Linked DNA regions of Drosophila melanogaster. The protein of the gene in region 3 purifies or fractionates together with the protein of the main gene of each other region. This does not show direct contact. Each region holds a gene or a part of one and is shown on either strand. Other genes may lie near its edges. The genes, in order: fs(1)Yb, armi and vret.

Region 1 (3,750 bases), on a different chromosome or scaffold from region 3:
AGCTGGCCAGTGCCTTCTGATAACCGGACACCACGAAGTCCACCTCGTAGTTCTTGCTAGCGATGCAGAGATTGCGAATAAGAATAACATTGGCCACTAAGCAAGGCAGACAACTCACATATTTGGGCAACGTTGGATCAGCAGCTTCATGTCGTGCTCCAGCGGAAACTGCCGCTGGTAGTCCACAACGAAGTTCTGGGCGGAAAGGCACTCCTGCATCACTTCCACCAGCTGCTGTCCCCGTCCCGACTCCATCTGCAGGCTGACCACGCGACGAACGATGAAGATATATTGCTGGCGCGTCTCATTTAGCCAGCGCAGCGAACTCGCACCCGGGTTCACCAAGTAGATGTTCTTGTACAACATGGGCACAGTCATGTCATAGAAATTGGCAATGCTGCGAATACGAAAGGGAAGGCAATAGAATCACACAGACCACGGATGCTGATGATGATGATGATGATAATAACCTTGGGGCCAAACGCAGCTGTTCGATGGTTTCCAATAGCTGGGGACAGAGGAGCAGCAGCAGGCGCAGCGTGTATGCGCAGTCCATGGCGAAGAGCACCACATCGTCGTAGGGCGTCTCCAAGTCGACGTCCAGAGACGCCCCGCCGCCAGCACCTTCGCAGCCCTCGTTCTCCACCTGGATCTGCATGCTGAGGAAAGCGCTCTCGTAGAAGATCAGCGCCTCCTTCAGATCCTTTTGGTACTCCGGCTGCACTTCCAGCACCTTGTCGAAGATCTGGCGCAACAGTTCCACGTTCTCCGGCTCCGCATCGCCAACAGCGATGAGCAGATCAAAGAGCAGTGGCACAGAGATCAGGTAGTTGCTGTACAGCAGGCTGCCGTGTTGCTTCGGGCTAATCCACTCCGAGTCCGATTCCTTACCGGTGCACAGTCGCATTATCAGACGCACGACGAGATCGAGCAGCTGTCCGTACAGCAGATGGGCCTGGTCCAACTCCTTGTCCCGGCTGACATCTGTCTGTCTGTAGTAGGGATTAGCGCGCTGCAGGAATGTGACAACGGCCGCCATGGCCGATTCATCGTACACCATGTAGGACCAGAATCTGGCGGGGATCAAGTGTTAATGTCTTCGGTATACTGAGCGCAACACGATGTAGCTTACTCGTGCTGCGTCAGGCTCAGCAGGAACTCCATGTCCCCACGGAAATTGTTCGCCGCGAAGGTCCATTCCTCCAGTGCAGCTCCGGATTTTAGGCGTCCATAGGAGCTCAACATGCACAAATAGCTGGCAAAGGGCTTCTCGCGCTGCACCCAGTGCTCGTCCTGTCCACAAAAAAAAAAAACACATATGCATAGTACTATCTCGCCGGAGGTGCACCAACATGTCCACTTACCAGCGCCGGAACGTTCCTGCGCACCCCATCCTTGCCGGAAAGTGCAAACTTGAGTTCGTCCAGTGGCAGATTCTGTGGGTTGCAGTTGTTGTTGTTGCTGGTGTCGTTGTCCAGCATGTCGGCCCCCCCTTTGGCTGGCAACACTCTCGAATTGTTGCTAGGGTATTTCTTCAATAACAAAATTCAATAAAACTAGCGAATTTCGTGCGATGCAAGGTGGCAGCACATTGATAAGGTGGCGCACGCAGGCTCAGCTTGTAATGTCATAAGGTGCGTGAACAAGAGTTGCCAGACGATCAGAGTGGTTCGATGATTATCGATATTGAGTAGTAATCGAACTTGAAGCTTAAGTGTCGAAAGAATTCAGTTGGTTTAAAATTTTCAAACCAAAAGGAGTTTCTCTCTGCTCAAGTGGAAGGCGATAAAAAAGCCATTAGTACGCGATTTGTTTATTTACTTGGCAAAGCGCTGCACGTGACCTTGCTAGCCGTACATATATTAGGCGCAGCATGGAGCCAATTGGAGATCTGCAAGTGCCCAGCTTCAAGGTGGTGTCCGGGGGAACCACCTTCACGTACGCCAGTCCGAAATCCGGAGCAGCCTCCCTCGACTTTCTCGCGCACACCCTGCGGAAAAGGGAGGCGAACACAGAAAAAACTATTCTGATATGTCAGCAGAATTTCGAGGCCGAGCGTCTGAAATTTGAGCTCGCCGAGCGGGATGTCAACACTATTCTCCTGCCCCCGCATGGGGCAATGGTCGGTCAAGTGCTGCTCCTCTGGTCCAAGGGGGTGAGTTTGAATCGGATCACTAACATTACATCAGCGGAGGTTATTTATCCTCTTTCCAGTACATCAACCAAGCTCTAATTCTCTGCGATGGCATGCTCGAGCATCTTGGAGTAGTCGAGGCGAACCTGGTGATCCACACAACGCTGCCGGAACTGAACAAGTTCGAGGAGCGTTTGAAGTGGCTGAGCATATCGGCGAGAAACGCCGAGATGTTGGTCATAACTCCGTGCGACGAAGAGAATGAAAAAGAAGGCAAGGGAGAGACCGAACCGGAGATCGTCCAGCAAAGAATGCCACTCAAAGTAGATGCCCTAAATTCCATGCAGCTTTATGAAATAAAGGAGAATACGCCGCCGACATCATCGGAGGATTACAAGGCGGAGGCGGATGTCCTGCTAAGTGCTGCAACTCCAGCGACAATCCCAAACGACAATAAGGAGCAAGAGATAAATTTAAGCGTGGAGGATGCTACAGTAAAGCTCCTGGCTTCTTTTGAGTTGGGCAGCACTGATTCGGCGGCAGTGGACGAATCCTCTCCAGCTGCTGCTAAGTTCAATGCTCCTGTCTACTCTCCTTTCGTTACTGAAAATCCAACGAAGTCTTTGGACGCCGAGTTTCAAGAGCTCGTAAAGTCGTTTAAGGTGCAAAACGTATTCAAAAACATGAACTTGCCGCCTCCTCCCTCTGTTAGCATTGAAGAACCGGTGTCCAGTGCCTCCGCTTCTGATTATCGACATCAGATCGACACCACTTCGCTGGATTCCATTCGAACTGTGAAGGATTCACCTGCCTCTCTAGCAGTGGTTCCCTTTTCTGCAGGGGGAATAACTTACAACAACTATGGCGTTCTCGGCTGGAGTCGCCACGCGGTCGTGCCGTGCTACGGTTTGACCGAAGCGCCGGACATAAGCACCATCATCAGGCGGGCCATGCAGCAGATGGGTGTGGCTAGGTCGCGAGCGCGGGCGGTCCAGAGATTCGCCTGGCCACATGTCTCGTTGGGTAAATCCGTTTTAGTTGTGGGCAACTTACAGATCGGGAAGACGTGGTCCTACCTGCCCACCGTGTGCCAGCGCAGCCACGAGGATCTGCAGCGACGGCCAGATGTTGGCCGTGGACCTACCTGCATCTTTGTGTGTCCCAACCAGGGGCAGGGCAAACAGATCGAACGCTGGATGAGCACGTTGCTCTGTTTGCTGGGCAGTGCGTCGGGGTTTGAGGATGTCGTTACCCACTGGGACAAGACCCAATTGGTGGACATCGTTCGCCGGCTCAAAAAGCCCGTTGGAATCCTGCTAACCAGCGTGGACTTGTTGCTCCAACTGCTGAACCATAACCCGGTCGGGAGCATTTTCGATGCCCAGGCGGTGAAGTGCATAGCCTTGGATAACCTGAACGACATGGTTCGTGTCCTGCCAAACGACACGATGAAGCTGCTGCAACGATTGCCCGAAATGTTCCAGCTCACCCAAAATAAGTGCCAACTGCTCGTCTCCGGCCGCATTTGGCACACCGATCTAATGGTGCAGCACATTCTGCCTCTGATGCCCGACGTCCTCGTTCTCTTCGACGACGCCTTGGAGGCGAGTGTCTAT
Region 2 (3,750 bases), on a different chromosome or scaffold from region 3:
CGGGCTTCGGTTTGGGTTCAGTAGCTGCCTTTTGCTTGGCTAGGGCAGCCTCCCTCTTTTGGCGCTCCTTCTTTTCCTTCTTTTTCTGGGCTGCCGACTTCACAGTGCTGCCGCCCTCCTCGTCATCGCTGGCCTCATCCTCTCCGGCGTTTTCTGCCACTGCAGCCTGCTTGGCCTGCTTCTTGTTCTTTTTTTTCTTGGAGAACTCATCGGCCAATTCTTCGGGGGAAACAACAGTAGTGGCAGCAGGAGCAGCCTCGCCGGCGTATTCCGCTTGAAGCTCAGCTAAAACCTTGTCCAGATCTTCATCGTCGTCGTCCTTCCCCTTGCGTTTGGCCTTTTTGCCCTTCTTTTCGTTCTTCTGTGGCTTGGAGACCACTACCTTTTCCTCCTTCTCAGACTGGCTTTCCTGGGCAGCTGGCTCGTCCTGCTCGTCGTCGTCCATTAGCAGCTCAAAAGCCGACTTCTTAGAAGCTTTGCCCTTGGCGGGCACCACCTCCTCCTCATCGGAGTCGTCATTTTTGCCTGCTTTGCCTTTTCCCTTGACATTAAGCTTCTTGACCCCCTTGGTCACGGCTTTAACATCGTCATCGCCAGCTTGATTGCCCTTCAGGGCATGATTCTGCTTGTTGTTGAGGCTCAACTGGTCGCTGTCCACATCGGAGCTGTAAGATTGAATAATTTGCGATAGAAAGTTTGCCAAGTTGGCAGGTGGGCATGAACTTGCACAAGACTCACATTTCGTCCACCGAGGAACCGCCTTCGACCTTGGTCAGTATCTCTTTCTTGCCCTTTTTAGCTTTAACCATCTTCCCGTTTGCGACTGCAACACGCTCCTCCTCTGGCCGAAAACAAAAAGCCGTGGGTTATTCACCGCTGAAAGATACGCACACGCGACGCCTCGGCAGCCAAGAAAAAGAGGAGGACTGTCCACTGGGTTCTCCTGGTGCTGGTGATCTTCTGATGGTGACTCCGCTTCGGTGGCTCCAGCGACGACGTCCTGCTCCGGAATTGTGCAATCGACGGCTAGATCTGACACGGCGCTTTGCCAATTTTTGGTTTTATTTAGCCGAGGAAATTCTGCACACAAGCACGTTGTCGAGTAGTACGGTGCGGGAGGGTTGGACAGGCAGTGTGACCGTGCGAGTGGATTGCTGAAAATCACAATGGCTGAGCTAAGGTTATCGATTATACCCTGTAATATCCAGTTGAGCGGGGTATTTTTGTTTTGAGTCTATAGTTGTACATAAAGATATATTAAATATATATACACCTTTTTCAATAGAATCGCGGCCTCGGCGCTGGCGTGCGCTGTTTACGGGAACCATTTATCGCCTCTGGTGCTCAGTTTCTTACTCATCAGACATAGGGCAGTTGGTTTTATTGGTTTTCCTAATTGGTAAATTATTTCAACTGCGAAAAGTATTGAACATACTCTTAAATAATATCGATCACTAGGGTATTTATGGAGAAAGAAACCATCTATGGACTTTTTTACACATATACTCGAAAAACTTTCCGGATTGCGGAAAGATATTTGGCATATTTTGGAATTTGATTGCTTATTTCTTAAATGTAAGTGACAGATAACTAACAGGTACTCTTGAAAAAAAGATAAAAGAATAAGAACAAGTTCTTCGTGTGTATTATTTTTGTGAGGAGGTAAATTCCAAAAACAAAAACTTAAATGTGGACTGCCGATATTTTATATACTTTCTTGAGTTCTTTACTTTACATTTTTGTTTCATTTTATTTTTGAGAACTTTTTTTAAATAAGGAAAATATAAATACATAAGCAACTTCCTCACGTTTCATATTCCACCGCTTTAATTTGACACACTTTAAGAAAATACCACAGCCAAGGATATTTTCTACGCCGCTAAGTCCGGTCACACTTAAAAGTTCGCCAAGACGCTTTGTGCTCAAAATTTTGCTCGAGAGTTTTTTCGAATACTATGACTATTTCCCATTGAACTCTTAAAACTCAAAGTGCAGTGCATCTACTAATTCAACAGCGTTAAGAATATTTGTAAGTACGAGTACAAATAGCAAATCCGGCTGTGCATTTGCAAAAAGCCGGTAAGGAACTCACATATTTGGTCCACAGCTTGATAACCAAGGTAAATCCGCGTGATTGGACAATGTCCAGCGAAGCATCCGGAAGTATAACCATCAAAGAAGAAGCATCTACAAGCGGTACGGCCACCAATATTCCCGTTGAATCCAGTGAAACAGAGGTATGAGTTTGTTGTTGTTGCCATCCTTGTTTTGGCGTGGTAGAAGGAGACGAAAGCAGTGCAGGAGTAACTGTTGCTGTCGCTTTTCTTGAGACTTTCGTTTGCTTTTTCTCCATTCAAACTGTTGCTTTTTTGCAGTTATTTTAACAGCCTAGACTAAAAAACAAATCACTATTGAATTCAAGAACCCTAACACAAAGTTTTTAATTTTCCGTTACAAAACATACAGAAAATGTATACAAATGTTAATTTTTTTATTTTATATATGCTCTTATAAATACATTTAAATTTATAAATAAATATTCTCTAAATATTTCAAAAATTGTCCGTAGAAGTAAAACAACAAAATGTTGTTAAATGAAAATTGTAGGATATTTAAGCCTTCGGTGTCATAGAAGGTAACATTGTATGTTCTCAAATGTTTACAATACAGATGGTCCACATTTCCAGGCTAAGAAACCCGAGATCGGAGCTGACAAGGCGGAATCGCAGAGCGAAACCACCGAGGGCGGGAAGGCGGCGGAGACGACGGAGAACCACTTGAAGCGTCTGCAGAATCTGCGCAAGGAATTGAGCTATCTCAGCGAAACCGACTGGATGTACGAGAGTCTCGACAAGAAAGCAGCGCAGTAGGAACGGCAGAGCATTTATCGGCGAAACATTTTCAAAAATGTTCACATACGTTAGCAAGTTTTTCACGAACCCGGATCGTAACCGGGAGGATATTCTGGAAAGTTTGGATCGGGAGAATAGCTTTTTAGACCAAAAACTAATGGAGGAGAAGATGGATCAACAGCTTAAGGCGAATCCAAACGAAATTAATGGGGTTTTAAGTAACAAGATCGCTGAGCTTACGCATGGACTTTCGGAAATGGACGTGAGTAAAGAAAGTTCCTGCACCGCCAGAAAGGGAGTGATCACCAGTCTAGACGGCGATCGGGGAGTCATCGACAAAGACGTTTTATTCGAAACGAAGGTGGCAGAGGATATCATCTTGGATCTACACGTCGGATGTGTAGTGGAATATTTGACTTTTACAACGGGGGAAGCCATGCGGGTGGTCAAGGTGAAGAGTATCCTTGAGCATTCCTGGGAGGACACAAGCCAAAAGGAGGTAAGCTCATCGGTATTAGATTTATTAGCCATTTGTTAAAGCCAATGCTTAATATCTGTAATCCTAACTTCTATTAGATTGAAAAAGCTGTAGACAACCTGAAGAACGAAAAGCCGACATTCTTTAACACCGAAACAAGGAGCGTTTTGGGTCTGATTAGCCAGCGTCTGGCATCTTCCATAGACGTCGAAACGGAATACGGACAGCTGACCGTCGAGCTAGACAATATCGAGATGAACTTCATCCCAACGAATGGAGATCGAGTGCGCCTAGAGTGCAACATTCAGCTGGATGACGGTTTCGTGGACAAACAGGGAGAAATCCTAGAGGTGACAAAGTTGTTTCCCACCCGCATTCAGGAAGGTGAAAAGTGCATTGTGGAGCGCGTGTACGTGCACA
Region 3 (3,750 bases):
TGGTGTTAAACCGCATATTCTGGTGCTGAACAAAGTCGATCTGCTGGGCGCCAAACAGCAGAAGAGCGTGCTCCAGCAGCTGAGGAGACAGCAGCCCGAACTGCAGCACATCCTGTTCACCAACTGCAAGGATCAGCGCAACAACGGCGTGCTGGACATCCTGCCCCTGGCAACGCGCCTCGTGAGCGAGAGCAGTCGCTTCAATCGCACCCAAGCTGCCGAGCACAATCTGATGATCATCGGCGTGCCCAATGTGGGCAAGAGTTCCGTGATCAATGTGCTGCGAAATGTGCATCTCAAGAAGAAGAGCGCCGCACGCGTGGGTGCCGAGGCGGGTATAACTCGATCCGTCGGCGAACGCATCAAAATCCAAGAGAATCCGCCTGTTTACATGATCGACACACCCGGCATCCTCCAGCCCTCCATTAAGGATGATGAAATGGGCATGAAACTGGCCCTGGTGGGCTGCCTTCCCGATCATATTGTGGGCGAGGATCTGATAGCCGACTATCTGCTGTACTGGCTGAATAGCCACCGCAAATACGACTACGTGGAGATGCTAAAGCTCAGCTCCGGACCCAGTGACGACATCAGCGCCGTGCTGGCGGAGTACGCTCATCGGGAGGAGCTATTCCACAAGGTCAAGCAGTACGACGGACGCGTGGAGGTGATGACAAATTTATTGGCGGCCGCGCGAAAGTTCATTCACTTCTTTCGCTCCGGCCAGTTGGGTCACATGAATCTGGACGAACCCAGTGGTTTCAGATAGCTATACATATGTATGAATTAAACTTAGGGGCTTAGATTAAAGACTGAACAGTCGATTCTGCTCGCGTCCTTATTGATTTTCCGCCATGGGCACATCGATGGCAATGTCGCCAACGCCGGGCACGGGAATCGAGTACGAAACACTAGCCAAATCGTCGGTATCATTGGCTAGATCCATGGGTGCATGGTGCTGCGGCGCCTGGTCCACCTGTGGCGCGATTCCACCAAGATGTCCAGCCAACTCAGCGGACTGATCCACCTCCGGCGGCACTTCGACGGGCGCACTGCTAATGTGCGGATAACTGGTGCGCGAGGCCGCCAAACGCAGCTCCTCCGGCACGCCCTTCATTCGCATCGCAATGTGACGGGAGTAAGGTGCCATCTTCTGGAAATAGTCAATCAGCATTTGCGGATCCTTCTCCACGATCTGTGCCGATGGCACCAAGTCGAACTCGTCGCAGAACTGCCAGCGCACCAGATACTTGATGTCGCCCGTCACATCCGTTGCGCCCACGATCTCGGCCAGCTCCAAGCCGCGCTCGTAGCCGCGCAGCTTCTGGATCTCTTCGCACTTGGGTTTCTTCTCGCCGCGCTTCTTGGACTTGGCGCGCGACTCCTCGAATTTCTGGATGAGATTCGGGCAATCGCAGTTCTCCTCGGGCTCCCAGGTGTTGTCCGCCGACGTGTAGCCACGCCACTTGATGTAGTACTCAACCTTGCCTTCGCTGGTAATGCGCTTGTCCATGATGCGCTCCACCACGAAGTTGGGCTCGTTTTTAACCATTTTTTATTGTGTTTTTACAAGATTGTTTACAATATTTAAAATCGGCTTGGTTTTTTTCACTAGTGCCAGTGTGACCGTTTGCTGACTTCAACAACAGTTACAATAGCAACATACTTCTGACAGCATAGAAAACGGTCACACTCGCACGCGCTTGCAATTCGAATTCAGGTGAAATTTTAAAGCTCAGGTGCAATGGAATCCGAATCCTCGCAGGATGATTGGTCCGCATTCGATCCAATGTCCAGGGAATACTATGACCAAGTGGGCAACCGTTACACTAACGAGTCTGGCCAGAAACTAATCATGGAAGCCCCGCTGCCGCCAAAGGACGAAAAGGAGCAACGTGCCACCAGGCAGGCGAAGTATCCATACTTGGTGGTTCCAAAAAGCAGTCCCTATGTGACCGAAAAGATGCTAATCAACTTCTTCGGTCGGGCGCTCATCAAGGAGATGGAGTTCCGCCGCTTGTCACGCGTATACTTTGTCTACTTTGAAAATATCGCGTGAGTTTCTTCAAGCACTTTCGCAGGTCATTCAATATTTCGAGCGTATAATCCTTTTTCCAGATCCCTGGAGACAGCGCAACAGCGGGTGCAGCGTTACCCGAACCTGATCAAGTGCATCACTGGTCGCCCGCAAAAGGAGCGGGAAATCACCAGCGATCCGGTGACTTCCACTGAGCCAATGCCAACACCAGGCCCAGCAATTTCGGCCACTGAACGTACGCCAGTGAATCACAACAGAGAGGTTCCGATCTCGACCGGAGGACAAAATCATCCGGAGTTCTTCCGGCCACCGCTGGTCACCAAAGATGATTACAAAAGAGGTTCATTGTTGGCCACCAACGACCCCATTCAACGCTATCTCAATGTAAAGTACGAATTCGCACTGGAGCGCCATGATATCTACAAGCTTAAGGATGAGACCAGAATCCCGCAGGTCGTTCTGCACTTTCGTTCGGGCAGAACGATTCCTTTGTTAGTATAGCCACCTGGTCACGTGCCCTTGATTAGCTAACGAGTATAGTTTCTGCATCACTCAGGTCAACGGTTGCTGTCACCGAAGAGGATAAAACTAAAAGCCTGCTGGAAGACGGCGTCAGCAAGTGCGTGGTTTGTCAAAACTGGACAGACACTTTCTGCAAGCTGTGCAAAATGCCCTTCTGCAATGCCTCCTGTTTCGCCGATGTGGCAGAGCAGCATAAGCAAGCTTGCGGCAAGGGTGAGATACTTAACCTTGACGAAAAGGTGGGCCGGAAGTACCCCAAACCCGGCTTGCCGCCGTCTGGATCTAAAGTGAGAATTACTGCATTCGAGCAGACTAACGTGGTCTATGTGCGCTCGGCGGACATTCAGATTGACATCGCCTATTATACAGTTCTCACGGAGGTAATGATGCTGGGCAAAGATGCCTCCAAACTGCAGAGTACGCCAGTCTGCGGACAAATTGTGCTCTACAAGTTCGAGGGACATATGTCGCGCGCCATGGTGCTAAACGTGGATAATATCAAGGAAATCTATGTAGTGTTCATTGATTTCGGAAGTGTTGAAGTCACGCAGCTGGAAAGACTGTATGAATGCAGTTCGTATTTAGCTGGTTTGACCTGCTATCCCGTAGCCGTTAAATTACGCGGAGTTCCCAGGCGCTTTGTGGGTCCCAACATAAGGGAAGTCATGTACGAACTCGACCAGTCCCTAGTTTTTAATATCAAGTACTCGTCACGTGAGTACGATACCAGCAAGGGCATGCAGGTCGTGGTGATGACCGAGATCGATATTAATAGGAGCCTCAACCGCCTTTTCAAGACCATCCTAACTCCTGTTGAGCCGTCTGTCTCGGACTTGGGATACAAAGAGGACGTAAGCCAGAACTTAAAAAAACATCAAGTACACAGTTGTCATTTGCATTTATTCGGTTTCAGTGTCTTCCATACATTCCCTTGCACTGCGGAAAGAACATAAATGTAGTGGTAATGGACAACACATTCATCCAGTGCGGCTTTATCTACTGCACCTCCATAGATCTGGCTTACGAAGTCACCAAAATGCAGCGAGACATACAGGAGTATGGTGAAAAGATTGCCAAGTGCGCAACCTACGCACCGCCGTAAAGTTACTCGCCGTTTTCTTTTGTCCATTTAACTAAAGCGCTCTTTCATTTAGGATAAATGAGCTTTGCATAGCTAAGTACGAAGGCAA

Evidence for each region.
Region 1: the proteins of vret (region 3) and fs(1)Yb purify together in Drosophila melanogaster (affinity purification with western blotting, with the first as the bait; 2 studies listed by BioGRID). This does not show direct contact.
Region 2: the proteins of vret (region 3) and armi purify together in Drosophila melanogaster (affinity purification with western blotting; 3 studies listed by BioGRID). This does not show direct contact.

Annotation. Positions count from the first base shown.
Region 1 is NC_004354.4:2,718,695-2,722,444, forward strand, and holds the start of fs(1)Yb (female sterile (1) Yb), read left to right. Parts: upstream 1-1,773; 5' UTR 1,774-1,873; coding exon 1,874-2,155; intron 2,156-2,214; coding exon 2,215-3,750. Other genes in the region: CG2701 (uncharacterized protein), read right to left, coding at 1-56, 119-397, 471-1,073, 1,133-1,293, 1,365-1,481.
Region 2 is NT_037436.4:3,459,434-3,463,183, forward strand, and holds the start of armi (armitage), read left to right. Parts: upstream 1-1,883; 5' UTR 1,884-2,029; intron 2,030-2,107; 5' UTR 2,108-2,141; coding exon of another isoform or gene 2,142-2,237; intron 2,238-2,670; exon of another isoform or gene 2,671-2,687; coding exon of another isoform or gene 2,688-2,870; 5' UTR 2,871-2,907; coding exon 2,908-3,351; intron 3,352-3,428; coding exon 3,429-3,750. Other genes in the region: eIF5B (eukaryotic translation initiation factor 5B), read right to left, coding at 1-665, 739-809; CG46463 (uncharacterized protein), read left to right, coding at 2,142-2,237, 2,688-2,870. UniProt on the Drosophila melanogaster protein: Probable RNA helicase required for axial polarization of the oocyte during early and mid oogenesis. Plays a central role in RNA interference (RNAi) process, a process that mediates mRNA destruction of translational repression.
Region 3 is NT_033777.3:22,743,519-22,747,268, reverse strand, and holds the start of vret (vreteno), read left to right. Parts: upstream 1-1,687; 5' UTR 1,688-1,744; coding exon 1,745-2,055; intron 2,056-2,118; coding exon 2,119-2,529; intron 2,530-2,594; coding exon 2,595-3,411; intron 3,412-3,473; coding exon 3,474-3,658; intron 3,659-3,714; coding exon 3,715-3,750. Other genes in the region: CG17141 (uncharacterized protein), read left to right, coding at 1-769; HP1c (heterochromatin protein 1c), read right to left, coding at 839-1,552. UniProt on the Drosophila melanogaster protein: Gonad-specific protein essential for germline development to repress transposable elements and preventing their mobilization, which is essential for the germline integrity.